Linked DNA regions of Diceros bicornis minor. The protein of the gene in region 3 interacts with the protein of the main gene of each other region in a biochemical or structural test. Links are inferred from orthologs where the notes say so. Each region holds a gene or a part of one and is shown on either strand. Other genes may lie near its edges.

Region 1 (7,292 bases), on a different chromosome or scaffold from region 3:
AGCCGGTTAGAGAGAGTCAGAGTCTGAATCTTGTCTTCTTTTTGTAAAGAGGGGTGGAGGGGCTCACAATGGTGGGCAGCCTCTAGCTTGAACTGAACCTGCTTGTCACCTAGGCCCGGACATCTGTGGCCCTGGCACTAAGAAGGTTCATGTCATCTTCAACTACAAGGGCAAGAACGTGCTCATCAACAAGGACATCCGTTGCAAGGTGTGCCTGGGGGTGGTGACAGAGGGCTGCCAGGGGGAGGCTCAGAGGCCAGCCTGGTGGGCGGGGCCACTCACCTCCCGCCCTCTCCAGGACGATGAATTCACACACCTGTACACACTGATCGTGCGGCCAGATAACACCTATGAGGTGAAGATTGACAACAGCCAGGTGGAGTCGGGCTCCTTGGAGGACGATTGGGACTTCCTGCCCCCCAAGAAAATAAAGGATCCCAATGCTGCGAAGCCCGAAGACTGGGACGAACGGGCTAAGATTGATGACCCCACAGATTCCAAGCCTGAGGTTGGTGCTTGGGCAGGGCCCCCCACCGTGGAGGGTGTGGAGGAGAGTGGGGCCAACTCTGACCTCCTCGTGTGCCCTCAGGACTGGGACAAGCCTGAGCACATTCCTGATCCCGATGCTAAGAAGCCAGAGGACTGGGACGAAGAGATGGACGGAGAATGGGAACCACCAGTGATCCAGAACCCAGAGTACAAGGTGAGTCTGGGGCTCGGAGCAGCCGGGAGCACACAGTGAGGAGTGCACTGTCCCGCTCACCGTCCGGTTCCCTTCTCCCTCTGCAGGGCGAGTGGAAGCCCCGGCAGATCGACAACCCAGATTACAAGGGCACGTGGATCCACCCAGAGATCGACAACCCCGAATACTCTCCAGATAGCAACATCTACGCCTATGAAAACTTTGCTGTACTGGGCCTGGATCTCTGGCAGGTGAGACATAGAGGGAAGAGGAGGACTCCTAGGGGACTTCAGGTGCTCCGAGTCACGCAGGAGAAAAGGGACAGGGGTAGCATTGAACCCTAGGCAAGTCTGACCCCAAGGTGGTGCTCTTTCTGAAGAATTTCTTGCTCTGTCTCTATGGAGTTGTCACAGCAGCCACTTACAGGTTCTGTTTACGTGCCAGGTACTTCTCCTAGTACCTTTATGCAGATCAACCCTGTTAACTGGTGCCAACAACCTAGAAGGTGATTAGATAACTCCATTAGAAAATTAGCTTCATGGGACTAAACTTTTGTTTCTTTTTTACTGATACACCTTTTGTGCCTAGAATGGCACATAGTAGGAACTGGAACAATGCTTGAACAAGGAGTGAGACCCCATCTTACAGAGGAAGAAACTGAGGTGCAAGGAAGTGACCAGCCCGAGGTCATACAGGCAGGAAATGGAGGAGCTGGGGTTCGAACCCAGGTTATGTGTGTTTTAACCGCACTTAGACTGCAGCGTTGTGTAGTGGTTATGGGGACGCGGGTAGGAGCCCTGTCCAAGGCCAGGACCATGGGGTGCCCCCTCTGACCACCCCTCCCTCTCTCCCCCTGTCCCCCCAGGTCAAGTCTGGCACCATCTTTGACAACTTTCTCATCACCAACGACGAGGCGTATGCAGAGGAGTTTGGCAACGAGACGTGGGGCGTCACGAAGGTGGGCCCAGGGTCCGGTCCTGGGCTGGGGGTGGGCAGGGCTGGCACGCGGGGGCCAGGCCCTGAGCGTGTGGTCTGCACGCAGGCGGCGGAAAAGCAGATGAAGGACAAGCAGGACGAGGAGCAGAGGCTAAAGGAGGAGGAGGAAGACAAGAAGCGTAAGGAGGAGGAGGAGGCGGACAAGGAAGATGAGGACGACAAGGAGGAGGACGAGGACGATGAGGACGACAAGGAGGAGGATGAGGAGGAAGACGCTGCCGCTGGCCAGGCCAAGGATGAGCTGTAGGGGCCGTGCCACCGCCTCCGGGGCTGGACTGAGGCCTGAGCGCTCCTGCCGCAGAGCCGGCCACGCCAAATAATGTCTCTATGAGACTGGAGAACTTTCATTTTTTTCCAGGCGGGTTCCAATTTGGGGTGGATTTTAGTTTTGTTGTTCCCGCTTTTTTTTTTTTTTTTTTTTTTTTTAACCTGGTGTTTTGTCTCGTGCTCCTTTATCTTCACCCCAGGGTTCTCATCTTTCTTGATTGACATCTTTGCCGCCTTCTGGTCCCTTCTTTCCCCAGATCCCTTAGTTCCTTTCCAATCTGGGGGCATGAGGGGTGTGGAGGAGAAGCCCCAGGCCCGAGATTCCATCTGCTCTCGGTCCTGGCTCCCAGAGCAGGGCAGGAGAAGAGGGTGGCGTCCCCAGTCGCCCAGCACTGAGCAAGAATGGGGCTCCTAGGCCCTGAGCTCTAGGGCGTGAGCTCTGACCTCCCCACCCCCTCCCTTTCTCCCCTGCTCCCAGGACTGGGCCACTTCTGGGTGGGGCAGCAGGTTCCAGCTCGGTTCACACTGAGAATGTAAGAACTACAAACAGAATTTCTATTAAATTAAGTTTTGTGTCTTCCTCCTGTGTCTCCTTCTGGGGGAGGTGACTCTTGAGTAAGACTCATTTTTCAGCCACTAAAGTTGGCTGAGTGTCCCATAAGGTTAGAGGGGCCCTTGTTTACCCCCACAACCCCAGACTAGTGGGAGAAGAGTAACTTTTAAATGCCATTACAGATATTCCACGTATTAACTCAGAGTCCTTGCACCAAAGTGATGAGTTTCGGTTCTAGTACCAATTCAGTTTGAGGAGACTGAGGTCCACAGTCTGGTAAGAGGTGGGGCACGGGTATGAACCCACACCTGAGCCACCATCTCATCCTGTCCCTGTTACTGAACCATACATATTTCTTACCTATCAAGGTAAGGCAAGACTGGGTAGAGCAATTGGACAATTTTAAAGATTTTCTTAATACCAGCCAGTGGTAAAAGCTATTAATTCCTTTATAATCAAGGAGGTCGGCTCAGAGACAGTATATAGCTTGTCCGTGGTCTTCAGTGGTGAAGTTTGGATTTGAACCTCTTGAAGGGAAAGGTGGCCCTGAGGGGGGGTGCAGAGATAGCAGAGTGGTGTCTGGGCCCCTGAGGCTGGCCTAAGGTCCACAAGGCTGCCACTGAAGGCCTGTGAGTGGTTGGAAGCTGATGTCCCTTGTTGCAGGAGAGAGGTAAGAAGCCGTCAGCTGAGCCTGGCCTATTCTGGTAGAAGCTTCTGTGCCAGGGCATGCAGTGAAGGGAGAGGCAGCAGGACCTGGTTACAGTGGGGCAGTGGGTGAGGTATCACGTGACTGCCTGGTGCCCAGCTTGAATGGAAACTCTGAGAAGAAGTTTGGAGGCAGGCAAGGGTCAGAGCAGGATAGGGCCCCTCCCCCCCAACCAGCTGTGAGATAAGCCCACTCTCACCTCCATCCAGTCCCCCAAGCCCCGTCTTCACCTTTGGCCAGCCAACACTTTAATTCCTTGTTCCTTGGATGGGCCTCCTTCAAGTTTCTGTCCTGTGGCCCAGCCCCAGCCCTCTGGGAAGCCTGCAGAGTTGTGCATCCAGGGCAAGTTGAGGGAATTCTGTATTCAATGTAGGGAGACCTTGAAAGTTAACATCTTTCTTAAATACTTTGGGGATCAGACTGGAGATAGTGGGGTGGGACAGCAGAGAACTGGGAGACCCAGGAACTAGAACTGCAGGTTCCTTCCCCAAATCCAGCTGTCCCTCAGGAATGAACGACGCCACCAAATGGCCCGATGTCCTTGCTTCCACGGCCAGACTTGTTCCTTAGAATTTCCACTTTTCAGTGCTTGACAGGGTTCCTGTCAGGGTGGCCAGACCAGAATAAAACTCATTTGGGAGCAGCAAAAAAACACGAACAAGGATTTTATGGAAGAAATACAAATATCTAGAGCAAGTACATGAAAAATTTTGTTCAACGTTATCCACAAATAACAAGCTAATAAGGGCGTGAAAGTGGGGACCCCGGAGCCATTTTGTGGCCGCATGACGTCACCGCTAACGGGCATGGCGTCACTCGCAAGAAGCCACCTGATGGGTGTGCGCGCTGAGCGAGAAGCCCCCTCCCCTCCCGCGGAGCGGTCTCTAATCTGCGCATGCCTGGCCCGAGGGCGCTCTCGTGCGCATGCCTAAGGAGGCCAAGGGGGCGCGCGCAGGTCACGTGCTCTGGTGGTCGGCGCGCGCACCGCTTGCCCCGGAAGCGGTAGGCGTGCGGCGCGGCTGGGCGCTAAGATGGCGGCGGCGTGAGTTGCATGTTGTGTGAGGATCCCGGGGCTGCCGCGTCGCTCGGGCCCCGCCATGGCCGTCACCATCACGCTCAAAACGCTGCAGCAGCAGACCTTCAAGATCCGCATGGAGCCTGACGAGACGGTGCGAGCCGGGCCGGAGCCTGGGGGGGGGAGCGACGGGTGCTGGGCGTGGGGTGGGGGCGGGGAGGCCGGGATCCCGACGGGAGGGGCGGGGAGGTCGGCGCGGGCCGGACCCTGCCCACCCTGCCTGACTTTCCGGGACCCCCCGATGGTGCCCAGCCTAGCCCAACCCCTGGCGACTCCACTTGGGCGGTGCTCAGGGGCTGGGCTCCGGGCGAGGCCCCACCCCCGGGCGCCCGCCAGGCTCCGGCTCCAGTGTCAGCGCCCTCACGGGGCGCGGGAGCCGCAGGCTCAGATTCCCGGCCCCGCCGCGCTCTCCAGGACCGGGTCTCCGAGCTCCCAGCTTTGCAGGCGTCTCCTCGGGACGCTGGTGGCCGAACCTGGGAGTAGTGACCAGGAGATGCCGAGTGGTGACGGCAACGACGACGATAATGACAATAAATCGTGTGCGTTTCAGTGGTCTGTGTTTGCTGGCCGTTTATTCTTTTCCAGTCGCAGAGTGCTGTAGTGTTATTATCTTACTAAATGTGCAAAACAGGCTTGTCATTTGGGCCTCTGACTCGCCCTAATTTGCAGATGCGGAAATCTAGGGGTTGAGGCACTGTGCCATAGTCGCGGACAGCAAGTTATGGCAGAGCTGGGATGCAAATTCGCTCCTGCTCGTGTGAGAGCCCCTGGTCTGAACGTTATGTTGCCTTTTTAGCTGGAAGAGACTTAGGACGTCACAAGTATGTCAAGTGTCTGACTATGTCCCTGGTGCTTTTTGCACAACTACGTCATGAGGGAGACGTTGAAGTCCGCTTTTGGTGGGAGAGGAAACACTCTTTTTTTTTTTTGTCCCGACCAACTGTTTGACTTGCAGCAAGTTACTTAACCTCTCTGTGCCTTGTTTTCTCAAATACTGTAAAATGAGGCTAATGATGTCCATGTCATACAGTTATTATGAGGCTCTAAAAGCGTGATGTGTATACGTTTATGAAAGCGCTATCACCTTACGATGCATTCAGTAAAAACACCGTTGTCAGTAGTGTGGAATGAGGAACCCTTCCATCTGCCCCTGTATTTTGATAGACTTTTCATCATACTTTTCGCCATCTGAGATATATATTTGTTTTTTTCATCTCCCCACATTAGTGTCACCTCCATGAGCGCAGGGACTTGCGTGAAGTTCTGTTCCCTGCTGTGCTTCTCAGTGCCTGAAACAGCCCCTGATCCATAACGAGTGCTCAGTAAATACCCTGCTGAGTGGTGAGATGAAGGAACAAACTCAAATCCAGCGTGCTTGACTACGAAGTGTAGCCTCTGCCGTCAGGGCCTGCAGCCTCTCCCCCCCAAGCTAGGAAGGGAGAGAGACTCTTGGGGTTTGCAATGACTGTCCCCGTCCCTGCAGGTGAAAGTGCTAAAGGAAAAGATAGAAGCTGAGAAGGGTCGTGATGCCTTCCCTGTGGCCGGACAGAAACTCATCTATGCTGGCAAGATCTTGAGCGATGATGTCCCCATTAGGGACTATCGCATCGATGAGAAGAATTTTGTGGTCGTCATGGTGACCAAGGTGGGTGCAGTGTGCTCGTTGGAAGGGTGGGTGGATTAGCTGGGGAGCTGGCAGAGAGCTGTGTGTGCCCAGGAGAGATTAGCCGTGAACAGGCGGGGCTGAGACGGGGCGGGGTGTGGGCGCTAGATAGGGATACTGATGTCTGCTCTCTTTTTCTGGGTGTCACAGGCCAAAACTAGCCCAAGCACTTCAGTACCCCCAGAGGCCTCACCCACTGCTGCCCCAGAGTCCTCCACAACCTTCCCTCCGGCCCCTGCCTCAGGCATGTCCCAACCCCCACCCACCGACAGAGAGGACAAGAGCCCATCGGAGGAATCAGTCCCCACGACGTCCCCGGAGTCCGTGTCAGGGTAAGGCAAGGAGCGGCAGTCCCAGCTTGGGCCCTGTTCTCCCAGCATGTTCCAGCGCCCACTTACGTGATCCCACACACCTGGGGGGAGGGCAAGCAGCCAGAAGCCAGGGTCCGATTTCTCTTTCTTGAATTTGCAGCTCTGTTCCCTCTTCAGGTAGCAGCGGGCGAGAGGAAGACGCGGCCTCCACGCTAGGTGGGTGGGTGGTCCCCAGGGCAGAGTGACTGGGCGCCCGAGCCATCAGCTGGGCCCTGTATGGGTGTGGGAGGGCCTGGGAGCTGTCCTCTCTCCTTGGTGACCCAGGCCTCGCCGCTCCCTCCACAGTGACGGGCTCAGAGTATGAGACGATGCTGACGGAGATCATGTCCATGGGCTATGAGCGGGAGCGTGTCGTGGCCGCCCTGAGAGCCAGCTACAACAACCCCCACCGGGCCGTGGAGTATCTGCTCACGGTGAGGGGGGCTGCTGCTTCCTGGGGAGGCCTCGAGGGAGGACGTGGGCTTCAATGCTCTGGGGGGTGGTCAGGGAGGCAAAACCTGCCCCCAAAAGTATTTGGGTCGTGGTTCCAGCCAGGAAGGCTTCCTGCGGGAGGCTGCACATGAGCAGCGGGTGGGGGAGGGAGGGAAGTGGAGGGAGGGCCCAGGCCTCACCTGTCTCCTGCCAGGGCTGAGCACGCAGGAGGGAGATGGTGGGCGGTCTGTGTGTTGGAACTAAACGGGACCCCTGACAGGGAATTCCTGGGAGCCCTGAGCCAGAACCCGGTTCTGTCCAGGAGAGCCAGGTGTCTGAGCCGCCGACCACAGAAACAGGTGAGTGGACTGGGAGCCGTTCGTGGGGGGCTGTCTGCTGTCGAGACATCTGATTCCCCCCCACCCCCCACCCCCGTGCTTCTGGGAGTCCAGTGTGGTATCTGACCACACACCTTGTTCCTGCCAGCGGGAGAGAACCCCCTGGAGTTCCTGCGAGACCAGCCGCAATTCCAGAACATGCGGCAGGTGATTCAGCAGAACCCGGCACT
Region 2 (7,659 bases), on a different chromosome or scaffold from region 3:
CTCTTTCCCAGGCGTTTCCAAAGAAGTTTTTAACTTCCTTAGCGTAAATGGACAAATTGTGTCTGATGAAAAGTCCCCCTCTGTAATTTGCTGACATAAAGCAGACTATTTTATATTTGACGCCTGTGTCTTCACCCCTAAATATATTTACGTACACCAGGGATCTCCAGCAAAATATAAAAATACAAATGACCCAAAGCAAAATCCTGCCTTAGTCAGGTAGGGCCAAAAGCTGACCCAGCATGGATGAGGGAGCCCAGACGAGACAGATTAAGGGAGGCTCCATCCAAAGTGGGCAGAGAGATGCCAGATTCTGGGAGAACCAGCACAGGGATAACCAGTGAGGGCCGTTAGGACTCCTGGGAAGCTGAGATGCAATCAAACCAACCCTCTGAAAATGAGAACAATCTTGTACAGGCATCTTGCCACTTAACTCTAGACCTCTACACTATTTAAAATAAGCTAAAGTCACTCCTTCATCCGCCCACAGTTAGGTCACCAAAGCACTTTACCAACTTTTCAAATTTCAAGTCAGCAAGAATGACAGAAAAAACTTTCAAACTCCTAATTCCAGGCTCACTACTCAGTGGAAGAGCTCTAAATCCTCATATTCCATTTTATTTTACACTTTTTTAAGAAAGATATGCCTCTCTAACCCACCATTTGGATTCCTTACTGTTTTTCTGGTTTGCCACTTCAAAGTTTAATGACTGTCCACCTTAGAGCAGGAGGATTTATGAAAGGGTATGGGGGGGGGGGACGACCCAGGAATCTGCTATAGATTATTTTAAGGGTCATGGGGATCAGAGGATATTACTGAAGGATGATGGAGATAAAAAGTAGCTTCTTCCAGAGACATATGAGGAGAAGAATAAAGAAAAAGAGCCACTGCTTAAATTCAACTTGAAAAAAATAACACTAGTATAGCATAAGAGAAGAGGAAATAGCATGAAAAAGTGAGTGTCCCTGAAATTTGGTAAATTGAAGTTCTTGAAGAAAACAAAAAAGAATCTCCAAAACAACCTAGATTAACCATTTTACATCATTTATTGATTCATTTGCCTCAACTCTCCAAATCAGAAAAATCTCTTTAAAGGCCATCCAAAAACATCTGTCTCCACCTATTAAATTTTTTACCTCCCTAGTATGAGTTATTCCTTATGCAATTTGTGGAGAAAGCTCTGTTCAAAAAAGATGTATGTGCAACAGGTGAGGAGGAAGTCAGATGGTAACAGAATTCATTTTGATCGAGTTGTCTGGGCAGGCATTAGTAATTAAGTGGGATGACAGCCTTGGGGAGGGTCACAGATTAGTGATTAATAGGACAAGTAATTTGAAATCAGATTTGGGGGTCACTGATAAAAGTAATGAGGATTTTTACAAACTTCAGCAAGAAATGGGAAGAGGCAAGCCACAACGACAGCATGTGGGCAATGATTAAAAGAAAAAAACAGAAAAAGCAATAGAGAAAAACAGTTAGGGCTTCCAAGCCCCTTTTTTCATTTTTAAGAACACATAAACCTTGAGGAGCACTTAAGCTACCCTCATTGGGAGGCCGACCAAATGCACCAAGAAGCAGTTCGGAAAATAGGAAGCCTGTGGGGGGAAAAAATAAAAAAAAAAAAAGGGAGAGAGAGTACGGTACCTCTTGGCGCTGGTGGAGAGGAGTTTGGAGTTTTTGCTCATGCTGACTTTACTCTCCTTCTTCTTGGGGGTGTTTGTTTCTTTCTCGGTTTGCTGGTTGGAGGACGAAGATGAGGAGGAGCTGGTGCTGGCCCTCGAATCGTCATCCGACATAGCGAACCCCCCACCCCACCCCGCAAACAGCCCCTGCAGGGGGAGAGAAACAAAACAGAAACACATCAACCATGCAGCCAGTGTAAATACGGAACTCGGGCGCTGTCAGGAGGGCTCTGACCAGGGGTGCACCCGGCCGCCCACCGCCCTCCACTAGCTTTTCAAAGTCTTCAGGCCCATTAAGGCTTTTGCAAGTCGGACGCGGCTTGTTTATTTTTGGCCCCAAGTGGGGGACGCGGTGGGAAAACGGTCAGGAGCACAGCGAGCGGCCCCTCCCTCGCCCCCCGGGGCTCCCCTCGGGGCAGGGAGGGGACAAGCCGAGCGGGCGGGGGAGGAGGGCAGGGCGGGGGCGCGGGCACCTCGGCGGGGCAGGGAGGGAAGGTCCCGGCCAGCGGCCGGCCTCGGGGCCGTTTCTGTCGGCTTTCCGGGGGTCGCGGGGGCCGCGGCCAGGAGCGGAGTTTGGCGAGGTCGGGAAGCGAGGAGGGCAGAGAGGAGTAAGAGAGGAAGCCGAAACGGGGGGACGGAGGCGAGGAGCGGGTGCCCGGGTGGGGGAAGGGAGAGGCCGGCGGGGGGGCAGGGGCGACAAGGCCGAGGGCCCCCCGCGCCGCGCCCCGACGCCCCTCCCCGCCGGCCTGCCCCTCGGCGACCCGGCTGGGGCTGCGCGGCCGGGGCGGGGGTCCCGGGCACACGCCCGACTGCCACCCTGGTGGGGGGGTGCGAGGGGGGCCTCGGCCTCCTGCGCGAACGAATAACAATGAGCCCGCCCGCCCCGGAGGAGTTAATCCCCGCGGGCCCCCGCCCCAGGGGAAACGGGGCTCCCCCGACTCCCCCTCCCCCGCTCCCGGCCCCCTGGGCGGCCAGTGAGGGGCTCCCGGGGCAGCGCTGACAGTTCGAGGTACAGTGCCCCCCCCGCTCCCGACACGGGCGGCCCCCGCACCCCACGCGGCCCGGGGTCCCTGCCCATCCCCCGCGGGCGGGCCCCGGACCCCTGGGGCTCCCCGGCCCCTCTCCGCCCCCCCCAGCCCCGTGCCCGGCGGCCCGGGTGGCGCGGGTCGGGGGAGGCGGCGAAGGGTGTCCCCGAGGCCCGGCGACGCGGCCGGGGGGCGGCGGGCGGCGGGGGGGATCCCCGTACCTCTCTTTGTGTCTGGCTCCTCCGTGCCGCCGCGGCGGCTGCTGCTGCGGCTGCGGCTGGGCCTGGCCACTCGTGTCTCTCTCTCGCTGGGAGAGAAGCGGAAGTGCAGCAACAGCAACTATTAAACAGGCAATGGCTTCCCCCAGCCACACACGCTCTCACACACACCACTCCTCCTCCTCCTCCTCCTCGCCCTCACCCCTCCCCCACCCGCCCGGTCCCACCCACCCGCGCTCCCCTCCCCCTACACACCTCCGGGGGGACGCGAGGAGGGCACAGGGGACCCCGGGAAACCCTGCCCCCTCCCCACCCACACCCCCACCCCAGCGCCTCCTCGGGACGCCAGGGAAGGGGGCGAGGGGTGTGAATTTCCTCTCAAGTGGTTCGGGGACCTGGATCCTGGGCTGGAGAGGGGAAGCCGTTCCAAGATGGGGGGCGCTGGGAGAGATTGGAACTGTATGGAATAGGGGGGTCACGAGAGGAAGTTCTTTCCAATAAGGGCTTTTGGAAACGGGGGGGGGATTGGTAAATTGGGGGAAAAGATGGTAATCTGGTGGCAAGGACTTTGGACTAGAGAATGCGGCGGGACCTCCTCCTAATAAGTGATCAGTTTAAGGGGAAAAAAATCCCACAACAGGATTTTCCTTTGGGTTGACACTGGCTTCTCCCTCTGGCGATTTACCTGCTAGGAGCAGAGGTCGGTTTAGGCACGCCTGTTAGAAAATCCCAAACTAGGACTTTTCTGCTCAGGCACGTGCAATTTTACAATTTTAGATTCTTCCAGTCACTTTTTATAGAAAGTGGTGGTATTTTATAAAAGGGATACAAAAGATTTCGTGACAGGTAAAACCAACGTGTAACAGGCTTACAAATGTGAGAAATCACTGGGAATAAACCTTATACTACTGAATTATGATTTAGAATTTTTGGTGTCAGCTTACTTTAGAAAGTTTGGTTTTTGGAAATTAGATTAAAAGTTTTGGGGACTTCTGTACCTTCCTCAACTACAATATCAATGCTATTCAAATAATCAATATTTTTAGGTTAATCACTCAGTAATTCCTCTGAATTGTTCCTTATTGAGCATTTTTACCAAGATTAATTTTTTTAAGATTAACCCATGAAATTATGACTTAGCTTCTCACTTATTTGTATTTCGGTTGAAGGAAACTAAAGAGGTGTGTGTAATGCCACACATACAAGGTCTGGTACATTAAGGAGACCGCCCAGTCAGATTTCCATGGGCCACTCTAAATTATCTCAAATTGCCATCCTTTTCCATGGAAACAGTGGCTTCAGTTACCACAGGAGGACACAAGATATAAAGCCCATGGCATATCCACTAACCAGGAAAACAAACATTCTTACCACCCACCTAAACCCTTCTAGCCTTCAACATGAAACTCCAACTGTATCAAGATTCATAAAGTAATTGTGCACAATTCCTGCTCAGTTCTTACTGGGAAACCTGTATCTACCAGGAATTGTCATAGAATCAAGGAGTCCAAAGCTGGAAAAAAACCTTATAGATCATCATTTCAGCCTCCTGCCTCTTACCTCCAGTCAGAGCTATCACTCAGTCACTCAAATGCACAGAAATTGTGAAAAGATCCCCAGACATAAGTGTTTGGTTTCGGGGATCCTGGTAGAGCATATATAAATAATGACACTCCCTGATGTGTGTTATTTGAAAACAACAACAAAAATCTCCTTAAAACCAGGTTGTATACTCTTTGTACTTCGGATGAAAAAGATACAAATTCAAGAGAAAGCAATGAACAAACATGAAATAAACTCAGTTGAGATGAATAAAATAAAGACAGTTATTAAAATGGAAACTTCCTCTTATGAATATTTGGGTTTCTGATACTTTAAAATACACGTCAACACTATGAGTACAACCAGTAAAAAATCATATATGTATAAAGATGAGAGCTGGCAGAGAATACAGGAAAACAAAAGAGTTGACTTGCTGTTGTGACCAGGACAGTGGGTGAATTTTTCACTAATTTTGGTTTGCATAAATTGTATACTTGGATACTAACTCTAATAATATTTTTTTTAAAAACTGAACATGGTTATTTTGTGTTTCATTGTTGATGCTTGGGTTGGACTGGTCCCTGGGGAAATAAATCGTATAACCGAAGGAGTCCTCTTCTATAGGGAACTGCTTTCCCAGCCACCAGTCTGGAAGGCTACTGGCCCTCTTGTGTGCTAGTCCTTATCTCTAACCCTGGTTAGTGCTTTATGGTTTAGGAATGACCTACTGAGGGGGAATAAAAACCTCAAAATGTTTAGAAAAGAATCCATTGCTCTCAAAAGACTAATCTTTATGTCAGATTACTTTAAATATACAGTTGTCTCAGTCACAAAAAAATCAAAATTCATTTGCAGCCTTCCAGGTCTTCTTACTTATTAACTACAAGGCCTAAGGACCTAAAGTGACCTCTCTGACCCTCAGTCTCCTCATCTATAAGGGGCAAAAATACCTGCACCGTACTGACTGGCAGAGTTGTTAGAAGGATCAAATGTGTATCTATAGTAAAATGATTAATTAACTGTTATGCAAAGTAAATTATTAATAATCCCACCCTGATCCTACTGCTCAGGAATTTTGTCAGGACACAGGGTCTTTATGACTTAGAATTGATGACAAGTGTAAGAAACCTCCTAGGAGAAAGATAAAGTCAAGGAATCACAGGATTTTATTTACTCAAAGGGGCCTAAGATATCTTGGAGTTCAAACTCCTTATGTTCCAGATGAAGAAATTAAGGCAAAGAAAGCCAGTACGTCTCATCCAAGGTCATGCAGTAAGTCGGTGGCAAAATTGTGGCTATGGCCCATGCTGCCCACAGATGATTTTGTCAGTTCTGGCAATATTTAGGGGGTGGGGAAGAGCCTCAATTACATTAAAGAAAAATATATTAAATATAAAAGAACTCCAGTAATATTTTCAAGAACATATTAACAATCAAGACAGTTGGGAAAGTGGACAAATGGAACCAAGTTAAAGGAATCACTGATTTTATAACATTTACTTGAACCAATTAATGAACAATATTGATGTTCCTTACACCTCATTCTGAGAATAATAATCATTATTTCATATTTATGGATATATTTCAAGTAGGTAATACATTCTCATGCTATATTATCCTAAAGAAACCAAAGGGTAAGCCACGAAAATCTGCCTCTGCCCCTCCCCCCAACTCTGTGGTAGTCTATGCTTGCAAAAGCAAATGCATACGTATACACTGGATGCTTTGATAGAAATGCTCAATTTACATTTAAAAGATGCATTCAGTCACAGAAGCCCAAGTGGTGCAACACTGTGATATCTGTGGGCTTTAAGAAAATGGGCTTCAGTTTTTACTAATACCTATTCCTGATCTCAAAATGATCCAACTCTCTTCTTCAAGCCATCTTGAGAGTATCAAGTGCATTTAAGTAGGAGCACTTGAAGATCAAGGTGCTGACTGATCCCTAGGTGAAGTGATACAGTTGATTCAGAAGAAAGAGACCCCATCTAACTTTTGAGCACTCCTATTTTTGGCTACTTGCTTACACTGAACTTAAATATTTCATAAAAGCAACAATCCTCTTTGGGGCCAATTTCACATCCAAAGAATTGTCAAGCAAATTAACATTTGTTAATATGGGTTTTTAAACTTACCTTATGACTGGATAGAAAGGATTTCCTTTTTCTGTCAAAAGAAAAAAAATCTTATGTTTGGAATTTAGGAAGAATTTCTGTAAAGGTTTTCTGAAAAGATGGACTCACTGTGGATTTCAATCTACTTGTTTTATTTTCTTTTTTTTTTTTTGTGAGGAAGATCAGCCCTGAGCTAACATCCATGCCAATCCTCCTCTTTTTGCTGAGGAAGACCGGCTCTGAGCTAACATCTATTGCCAATCTTCCTCCTTTTTCTCCCCAAAGCCCCAGTAGATAGTTATATGTCATAGTTGCACATCCTTCTAGTTGCTGTATGTGGGACGCGGCCTCAGCATGGCCAGAGAAGCGGTGCGTCGGTGCGCGCCTGGGATCCGAACCCGGGCCGCCAGCAGCGGAGTGCTCGCACTTAACCGCTAAGCCACGGGGCCGGCCCTTGTTTTATTTTCTGATGCTCCTTTGCCTGAAAAATTCATTCCTTATACGGAAGGATAAGGAAGGTTCGCAAAGAAGGGTCAATTCCATGAAGCCTAATGGGATCTGGGGCTTTTATCTTCAATTCGGGTCATTATTCCATAGGCCTTTTTTTAACACACTGATCTCTTTGAAGGACCCTAAGCGTTGTCAGACTTTATTTGTCCTGAAAGTTGCTATCACAGGAAGCTAGGACAGAGCTAAATTATTTTTTCTACCACATGGAGGCATTGAACAACCATGTGATTTTCAAAATTTACCAAGACTTGATAAGAGTCTAATGCTTTCTCAGGCAAGGGCAAAAAGGTTTGTTTGATGTTGACAAACGGATAATGCTTAGTATGAAAGCATTCTTCTCACCTTATAATTTAGCATCTGCTCTGTAGGGCCTATTCTCTAAACAAACCAGCCTTCTTCAGCCTCCTATACATTGATAACATAAGGACAGACTGTATTGGAATCTACTGGATTGCAGTTTGAGCAGTTTGGTTAGTCTCTGAAACCTTTTCTTGAACTTAACACTTTTTCTGTTTACTAAAATTTGGAGGAATGAAATAGTAGGGAAAAATTACTTTTATTTCACGC
Region 3 (7,753 bases):
GCTGAGATATCCAAGTGTATGTGTATCATTGGTAATTGAGAGTAGCAGGCTTATAACTCAAGAGATAAACTCTTAAAGATGTAGAGTTAGGGATTCTAAGTATAAAGTTGCTATGGGAATGAATGACAATGCACAGAGAGTTAATTTAGGTTAAGAAAAGGGGCTAGTGATAGAAACTTGGAGAGTGGTCATGAATGAGGCATAGGAAGGTGAGCTAGCCGAAAACCTAGTTGCTGTCAGAGGTAGAAGAACCTCTGACAGGTGGGTACAGCATTATGGAAGCCAGGGGAGGTGAGAGATGGTTAGCAGTGTGAAATGCTACAGAAATAAGGTAGGAGTAAGGGGCCACAGGATTTAGAATGTACAGGAATGATGATGACTTTTATAAGAAACATTTCAGTAGGTGGAAGGTTTTGTGTATTAGCAGCTGAGCTAATAGTTTTCAGGTCTTTCTGGCAGTTAAAGGAAGGAGAATAAGGAAATGATACTTTAAGGGGTTAATGGAGTTGAGGGAATTATGTTGAGAGTTTGAGAGTGTTATATGAAAGCAGTACTTAAAAATTTTAGTCTGTAGAATAAACTAGAATGAGTAGAGCCTAAAGGCAGGAAGACTTAAGTTAAGCAAGGAAGTTATTAAAACAGTCTGGTCATTAGTGAAATTTATAAATATACAAAACTTAAAGAGTTTCAACAAACAGCTTTACCCATAAATGTAAGACACCATAAACATGGTGCAGAGGAGAACAGAAGTGCTGAGTGGACACAATAAAAAAGGGATAGAAAAAGTAGTCTGTGAAATTGTTTGACCTAGGTTTAGAAGGAGGTGAAGGAAATAGGCTATTGGAGAGGAGATGAAGGACATACTAGATGTAATAATAATAAAAATATATATGTATGTGTGTATAAATATTTATACAGAGAGGGAGGGAGTGTTGGCAGATGGACTATTTTAAAAATAAATGAAAATGTTAGCAGGGCAGGTGAATGTAGATTGATATAGGCATTTCTTATTATTGGGTTACATTTCTTTTTCTTTTTTTTTTTTTTTGTGGGGCGATCAGCCCTGTGCTAACATCTGCCAATCCTCCTCTTTTTTTGCTGAGGAATACTGGCCCTGGGCTAACATCCGTGCCCATCTTCCTCCACTTTATATGGGACGCCGCCACAGCATGGCTTGCCAAGCGGTGCGTTGGTGCACGCCCGGGATCCGAACCAGCGAACCCCAGGCCACCGCAGCGGAGTGCGCGCACTTCACCACTTGCGCCACCGGGCCCGCCCCTTGGGTTACATTGCTTATTCTTAGATTATTAGATTGAGCCCTCTGTTGGAGAGGGACACAGATATAAATAAAATGAAGGCATTAGGTCTGGTATTAGAGTGCTAATGGTTAAATTTGTAAAGAGTATACCTAACATTTCTGGTGCTTACAGTATCTGTTACTTATACTGTATCCTCTATGATTATGTGTTCCTAATCTAAGGAAAAGTTTCTCAAATTGGAGTCTGCACATCACCTGAAATGTACGTTAAAAATACAGATTCATGCACTGCAACTTTATTCACTGAATCACCGTCTCCAGAGGTAGAGATCGAGTATCTGCATTTTTTACAGATTCCCCAGGTGATTTTGTTATAGAATAGAGTGTGAGACTCAGTCCTCTAGGCTTAAAACTTGGTTAATTTTTAAAAAAATATTTATATGCAGTGTATTCATTTTCTACCCCTGTAGAACACTGAGTGGGCTTCTTAATCTTTGGGACATGATTTCTTCATATATAATAAAAGGAAATGGATTAAAAGACTTCAGTTTCTGTTCCACTGAGAAATGCTCTGATTGAATACAAATGAGTTAAGAATTTACAGTGATTATTTTAGTGCATGCTTTAAGCTTCAGAATTTGGATTTTTGTGAGTTAACTTTTGATATATTAAATGTTTGATTTAAGAAATAATAGTTGCTCCCATGTATTGTGGCCCTATTAGTGCCAGGCAGCACTGTCCTACATACTGTTAAAACATTTTCTCTAATACTGTCAGCAACATGTCTGAGACTCGGGCCAAAGGACCTGCCCAAGGCTGCTCCTCCAGGAGGTCATGAACAAATGCCCATATATGTACCTAACATAGCAGGTGCTCAGCGTATAGGATTTAATTAAAAGCTAAATTCCTATAGGTATCTGAAGGAATTTGAGGAATGTAGTCAAACAGGTTTCATGTATTTTCAGCCCTTATGGAGGGAGACAAGAGTAAAGAAATGGCAAGCACTAAGCTCTGTGGATGAAAATGGGAAACATGGCTCTACCAGCTAAAAGTACTCAGGCCACAGGGTCTGCCTAACGACCTTCCATGCATCCTGGCAACAGCAGTAGGGGCATTTGTCTCTTGATATGTTTTTGGATATTCATGAATATTATAAAGAAATAAATTTCCTTTTATAATAAATGTTAGGAAAAAGTTTTCCCTTTGAAAGTTTATCCAGTTGTCTATGTAAAAAGAATTGAGTGAGGTGTTTTATATTTTAGGTTAAAAATCTGTAAGAGCCTGATTTTAGAATTCACCAGCTCCTCAGAAGTTTGGCGAAATATGGTATGTTTCTGTTTTATTTTTTGGAATTCAAAATTGCATGTGTATCTTAATGTCATGGTTAGAGTAATGAAAAATGTATTCAGCAAATTTGGGTGCCTGCCATTTTTAAAGCCTTGCGCTAGGTGCTGAATCACTATGCTACCAGGTAGACTGTATGAGGGACCCAAGTGGGATTCTGAAAGAATTTAGAAGAGGTTAGTGTGCTGTGAGAAGTAAAATAATATGCATAAGAAGATTGAGGAGCAGTGTGGCTGTGAGGCTCTGAGGTAATAATAGATTCCATTTGTTGAGCTCCTACTACGTGCCAGGCACTGTTCTGAGCAATTTGTACGTTAGTCTGTTCATCCTTGTGACAGCCCTCTGAAAGAGATACTACTATCATTTTAGTTCTACCTATGCAGAATCTGAGGCTCAGAGAGGTTAAGTAACTTGCCCAAGATTTCCCATCTAGTAAGTGACCAAACAGGGACTTGAATCCACACTGGCTGTGGAGCCTGTTTGTGCAGTGTTGGGCACTGGAACTCATGAAAAAGGGGGACTAGAAGAGAGAACTTGACTGAGTAGATTTCATAATACATGTAACTCTTTAATGAATTAATTTACCTCAGTTAATTAGTCAATTAAAAGGTATTATAACTTTTTCATTTTTATGTTTACAGGTTTGGATTAGTCTTATGAGAACCCAAGAGGGAGCAGTGTTCATTTCAGGGGTGCCATTCCTTTTCTTCATACGACCTCAGGAATGTTCTGGGTTCATATTAGGAGACATGTAGCTATGATAGGAAAATCTGAGAAATTGAATTATGCCTTCCAGGGATTATAAGTTCCATTTATTGGAGTCCCCTAAAATTTCTTATGTATATGTAGGCCAACTCTCACCCTTATATGAATTAGAATCCCAAGTTCATAGGCGGCGGAGGTGTGGGCTCAGGCATTGATGTTTCAGCCCTTCTCTTGGGGTTCTCAGATACCTTGCTGTTCTATATTGGGTTCTGACCCATGCTGGTAACCATCTTCTGTGGTTGTCTGTTGTCACTTTGAAGGTGTTAACTATCAAGGGTCTTTTTTTTATCTTTCCTTAGTTTGCTTTTTAGAATTGACCTGGATACACAGTTTGGTAGGGAAATCATCAGGGGAGAAACTAGTTGCATGGATTGAGCTTTTGGTACTGGGATATTTCAGATGTATATCTTTGCCAGAACTACAATATGATTAGAATACATGATAAATTTGAACCGTGACAATCAGGAAAGTTCAGCTAAGGCCAAATAAGGGGATCAAAAGATATTAGGTTGAGGGAGGAGGAAGTGTTTTCATATTTTGCCATTCTCTCTCATGAAATTGAATATGAATGGATTTATGGCTGAGAAAGAGTGGAACATGTTTTCATGAAGTACCCAAGGGGTTTTGGCTAGTGTTAGATCACCCTACTTAAATGTAGAATAAGTAGGACTAGACTTTGGTGTATATATGTGTGTGTGTGTATATATATGTATATAACTATTCCATTAAGCATTTGGCTACCTGGAACCTATGACTGTTAGTCTCATTTAAACTATTGTGGGGTCTCAATCCATATTCTAAGTTTTTGCTCCCTTATGTATGTTTAAATCATAGAACTCTGTATAGCAAAATTTAAACCAAATCAAAAAATGCTAACCCTGGATAGGAAGTCAGTAGATCTGGGTTTTAGTTCTAGCTTCAACACTAATTCTAAAATCTTGGGCAAGTCAGTTAATCACTCTAAGGGTGCTTAATTTTTTTTTTTTTAATTCTTAGTATAGTATCTACCCTGATTAGGTAGAGCCAAAGTTGTCATGGGAGTCAAACAAGATAGTGTTGACTAAAGTGCTCCATAAACTGTAATGCTCCATAAAAGTACAAAAAATTATTGCCACATTTTCTCAAGTGAAGAGATAATTTAAGGGAAAAAAATGCTGGAAAATAGTCCTTAAACACGTTTCTGTATTAATTACTCTTCTGACGAACATTGCGTTGATACCTAATTCAAAGCTTTGAAGATTATTTTTTGAACAATGAATTGGATTTATATATTAAAGTGTTCTAACCAAAGATTTGTTTAATTTATTAGAGTTATTAAACCTACGCTCAGATCAAGTTAGCAGCTAGACTGGTGTGACAACCTGTTTTTAATCAGTGACTCAAAGCTGTGATCCACCCTGATGTCACCGAATGGCCACAGCTTGTAAAAGGTAATTTTGAATGTTATTTTACAGCCTTTAAAAGGCTGTCATTGTAAAGTAAAATATGTGCTGTATAAAATGAAGAAAATGTATAGTTGGCAGGAATACTGCTAAGAATAGTGGACCTAAGAGTTGACATGCTTATCCATGTAATCTCCTGTCTAAAATATTTCGTGCTTTTGTCCCCCAGACCTATCTGTATGAACAACAGGAAAGCATTTCTCAAAAATTTCAAGTTTTTAAATAAACATTTTATTATGAACCTTATAAAACCTATGAAAAACTTAATATGCATTTTAAAGTGTACCTTTAATGTGGTGAGAGTTTTAACTAAACACTTCTCTAGAAGTTTTTACAATTTTAATAAAACTAGTATACTTTTCTGTCCTAGAGAGTTACAGTGGAGGTCAAAGGAGTGGTTTGCAGGCTGGAGAACCTACACTCACTATTATTGGAAGTGAGCCTCCATTTGAGTTTTCTAGCTCATGCTGCAGAATTCAGATTAGTGGGCATTTGTGATCACGTTTTCTGTGATCCAAATCAAGACCTAAAATTGAGACTCTTCCAAGATTTATTTTTTATTTTCTAATGTTACTTGCTTATTGTTTCAGTTTTAAAATTTCTGACTTGTTATTCTGACAAACTTTAGGTTAACCTAAGTCAATGGTTCTTGTTTTTTCCCCCTTTGATCACATGTCCTGAATTTGGTAAAATTACTAGTGTGTACTGGATCCTTACTTCCAACATCTTGACAGTAAAGAATAAAGAGACTCTTTAGGGGCCAAAGTAAAGCTTGGAAACTATGTTAGATATTAGATATTTCATTGTTTTGAGAATTTGAATCCTAACTTCAGGATATTTTTTTGTAAATTATTTAGAATATTGTAGAAATATACTCTAAGCAGAATGACTAGAAATTTATTCCAACGTGTACTCTTACTACTCACTGCAAGAAAATATTTCTACTAGTTCTATGTATATTCACTTTTCTCTTGATTAAAAAACAATTCCCATTTTGAGTAGAAAACAACTTGTGCTAACCATGTTTAAGACACCCAGGATAGATCTGTTTTAGGATAATAATCTTTCAGTCTTCTCTTATTCTTTTGTCCTTTTAGACTGAATTGGTTTAAAGTACTTGGTTTGACTAATGGCTTTTAGTAGCTCACTGTAATATATGTTAATATTAAATGATAATCTAGTATGTTTACAATAATTTGATGACATTTTGATGCTAATGTTTACGTATTCTCTTATTTGGGGAAAGACATTGGAAAATAGAATGTAGTTACTATTTGTTGATGTATTTAACCTCTATCCCATTTCAGAATCTCAAAACTTTGCAGCAGTTATAAGTTGTGCTTCTAAGACTCAGATTTGTTTTTCTTCTTGCTTGTGTCTTACCTTTTTGCAGCAGTATTTTAATTTTCCTGTCATTGTGTCATCATTTTTTTCCCTCTCTCTCTTTCCCTGTTAATTTTGAAAGTTTTGCTGCCTACATGTTTGAAAGCTTCTAATCTGCCTCTCTTCCCTTAGTGCCAGCAGATTTATTTTTTGTTTTGCAAGCCTGCTCTGCCTCCTTACAGTATGACATCTGATGCTGGAGGGTCGCACTTTCAAAAATGAGTCAGCTGGTACATGGGGTTATCATCAGTTTTTAGCTCTTCTGTCTGAGAGATACAAGTTTGGAAGCAATCTTGGGGTACTTACCCACAAGGCTGGTGGAGACCAGGTGTGTCACAAAGGTGATTTGCTTGCTCCCTGGGGGAGAGGGTGGAGTGAAATTTTTGCATTTGTGTCACTGCCAAGTCACTGCCACCTCCAGCATGCCTCAATTTTTAGTTGCAATGTAATTTTGTACAAAACTGAAAATATAAATACACAGCAAAGAAGATCTAAAAATTAATATTTGAGCTGCTGGAGTCTTTTTTTTTTTTTTTTTTTCCTTGCATTCTTGTCCTTGGACTCTGAACGCACTGCAGTGAGGGGTAATTTTGAAAGTCTGATAAAGAAGTGAGTTTTTTAAGAGCTAAGAAATGTGGAAACAGATTTTTTTTTTTTTTTCCTTGCTGGTGAATCTGATTTTAAGATTCTTTTGTTAAAGTTGTTCAGAATTTGAAGTCTCAAGTCAGTGATAAATTCACAAATCAAGTCCTTGGAATGTCATTTTGAAAATTTATCTTTTGACCTCTAAAAAGTATTTTACCTATTTTGAGAATTTGAAAGTATTAGAAATCAGTATTATGTTGATTCACTTTAATATACATTGACTGATGCTGTTTATAAAAGTAAATAGGGTAACAGGGATTTATTTTTTTAACAGTGTGGTAGGGGTAGGCAAAATTGGTTCATACCCCAAAATGAAATTAAAAGGCTTCTTTTGTGTCTTTGAATTTTGAATATTTCTACATAAGGTAGCAGTAGATTAAAAAAGTAATAGAAAGTAACTAGCAACTATTTATAATTGAAGTCAGTTCACAATTACCCACAGCAAAATTTTAATACCTCAGGATGGTACACTTTTGATAGGTAGTACATCCTATCCTGCCACTGTTTTTTCAGGGAAAGCTAATTTCATTGTTGAACCAAGATAATCATGATCAGAATGATAAATTTGACTTAAGTGTCTTAAAATTCAGGAAGGCTGTTAGATTTACATGTAAATTATCTAGAGCAGAGGTTAGCAAACTTTTTCTTAAAGGGCCAGATAATAAATATTTTAGGCTTCGCGGGCCATGTGTTTCTGTCAGTTTCTCAGCTCTGCTCGTGTAGTACGAAAGCAGCCATTGACAATATGTAAATGAACGAGTATGGCTGTGTTCCAGTAAAACTTTACAGAGATAGGTGGCTGACCCAGACCTTAGTTTGCTGACCCCTCATCCAAAGTTTGGGACTATAAATACCAGTGAATATCCTTTATATTGTGGATAAGCAATACTTGGCTGTAGAAAGTTTTATAGGCGTG

What was found.
Region 1: of the proteins of UBE3A (region 3) and RAD23A, one has a biochemical effect on the other in vitro, tested with the Homo sapiens proteins (9 studies listed by BioGRID, with this or other methods). The link is inferred for Diceros bicornis minor from reciprocal best matches to the Homo sapiens genes UBE3A and RAD23A.
Region 2: the proteins of UBE3A (region 3) and ubiquitin-conjugating enzyme E2 E1 form a complex in vitro, tested with the Homo sapiens proteins (2 studies listed by BioGRID). The link is inferred for Diceros bicornis minor from reciprocal best matches to the Homo sapiens genes UBE3A and UBE2E1.

What each region holds. Positions count from the first base shown.
Region 1 is NC_080769.1:4,461,323-4,468,614, reverse strand, and holds the start of RAD23A (UV excision repair protein RAD23 homolog A), read left to right. Parts: upstream 1-4,212; 5' UTR 4,213-4,301; coding exon 4,302-4,373; intron 4,374-5,762; coding exon 5,763-5,924; intron 5,925-6,092; coding exon 6,093-6,274; intron 6,275-6,413; coding exon 6,414-6,469; intron 6,470-6,598; coding exon 6,599-6,726; intron 6,727-7,004; coding exon 7,005-7,083; intron 7,084-7,210; coding exon 7,211-7,292. Other genes in the region: CALR (calreticulin), read left to right, coding at 114-208, 299-508, 590-703, 790-933, 1,548-1,640, 1,725-1,925. UniProt on the Homo sapiens protein: Multiubiquitin chain receptor involved in modulation of proteasomal degradation. Binds to 'Lys-48'-linked polyubiquitin chains in a length-dependent manner and with a lower affinity to 'Lys-63'-linked polyubiquitin chains.
Region 2 is NC_080741.1:28,971,457-28,979,115, reverse strand, and holds the start of ubiquitin-conjugating enzyme E2 E1, read right to left. Parts: upstream 3,081-7,659; 5' UTR 2,930-3,080; intron 1,831-2,929; 5' UTR 1,798-1,830; coding exon 1,646-1,797; intron 1-1,645. UniProt on the Homo sapiens protein: Accepts ubiquitin from the E1 complex and catalyzes its covalent attachment to other proteins. Catalyzes the covalent attachment of ISG15 to other proteins. Mediates the selective degradation of short-lived and abnormal proteins.
Region 3 is NC_080744.1:75,727,880-75,735,632, forward strand, and holds the start of UBE3A (ubiquitin-protein ligase E3A), read left to right. Parts: upstream 1-4,676; 5' UTR 4,677-4,777; coding exon 4,778-4,797; intron 4,798-6,324; exon of another isoform or gene 6,325-6,520; intron 6,521-7,753. UniProt on the Homo sapiens protein: E3 ubiquitin-protein ligase which accepts ubiquitin from an E2 ubiquitin-conjugating enzyme in the form of a thioester and transfers it to its substrates.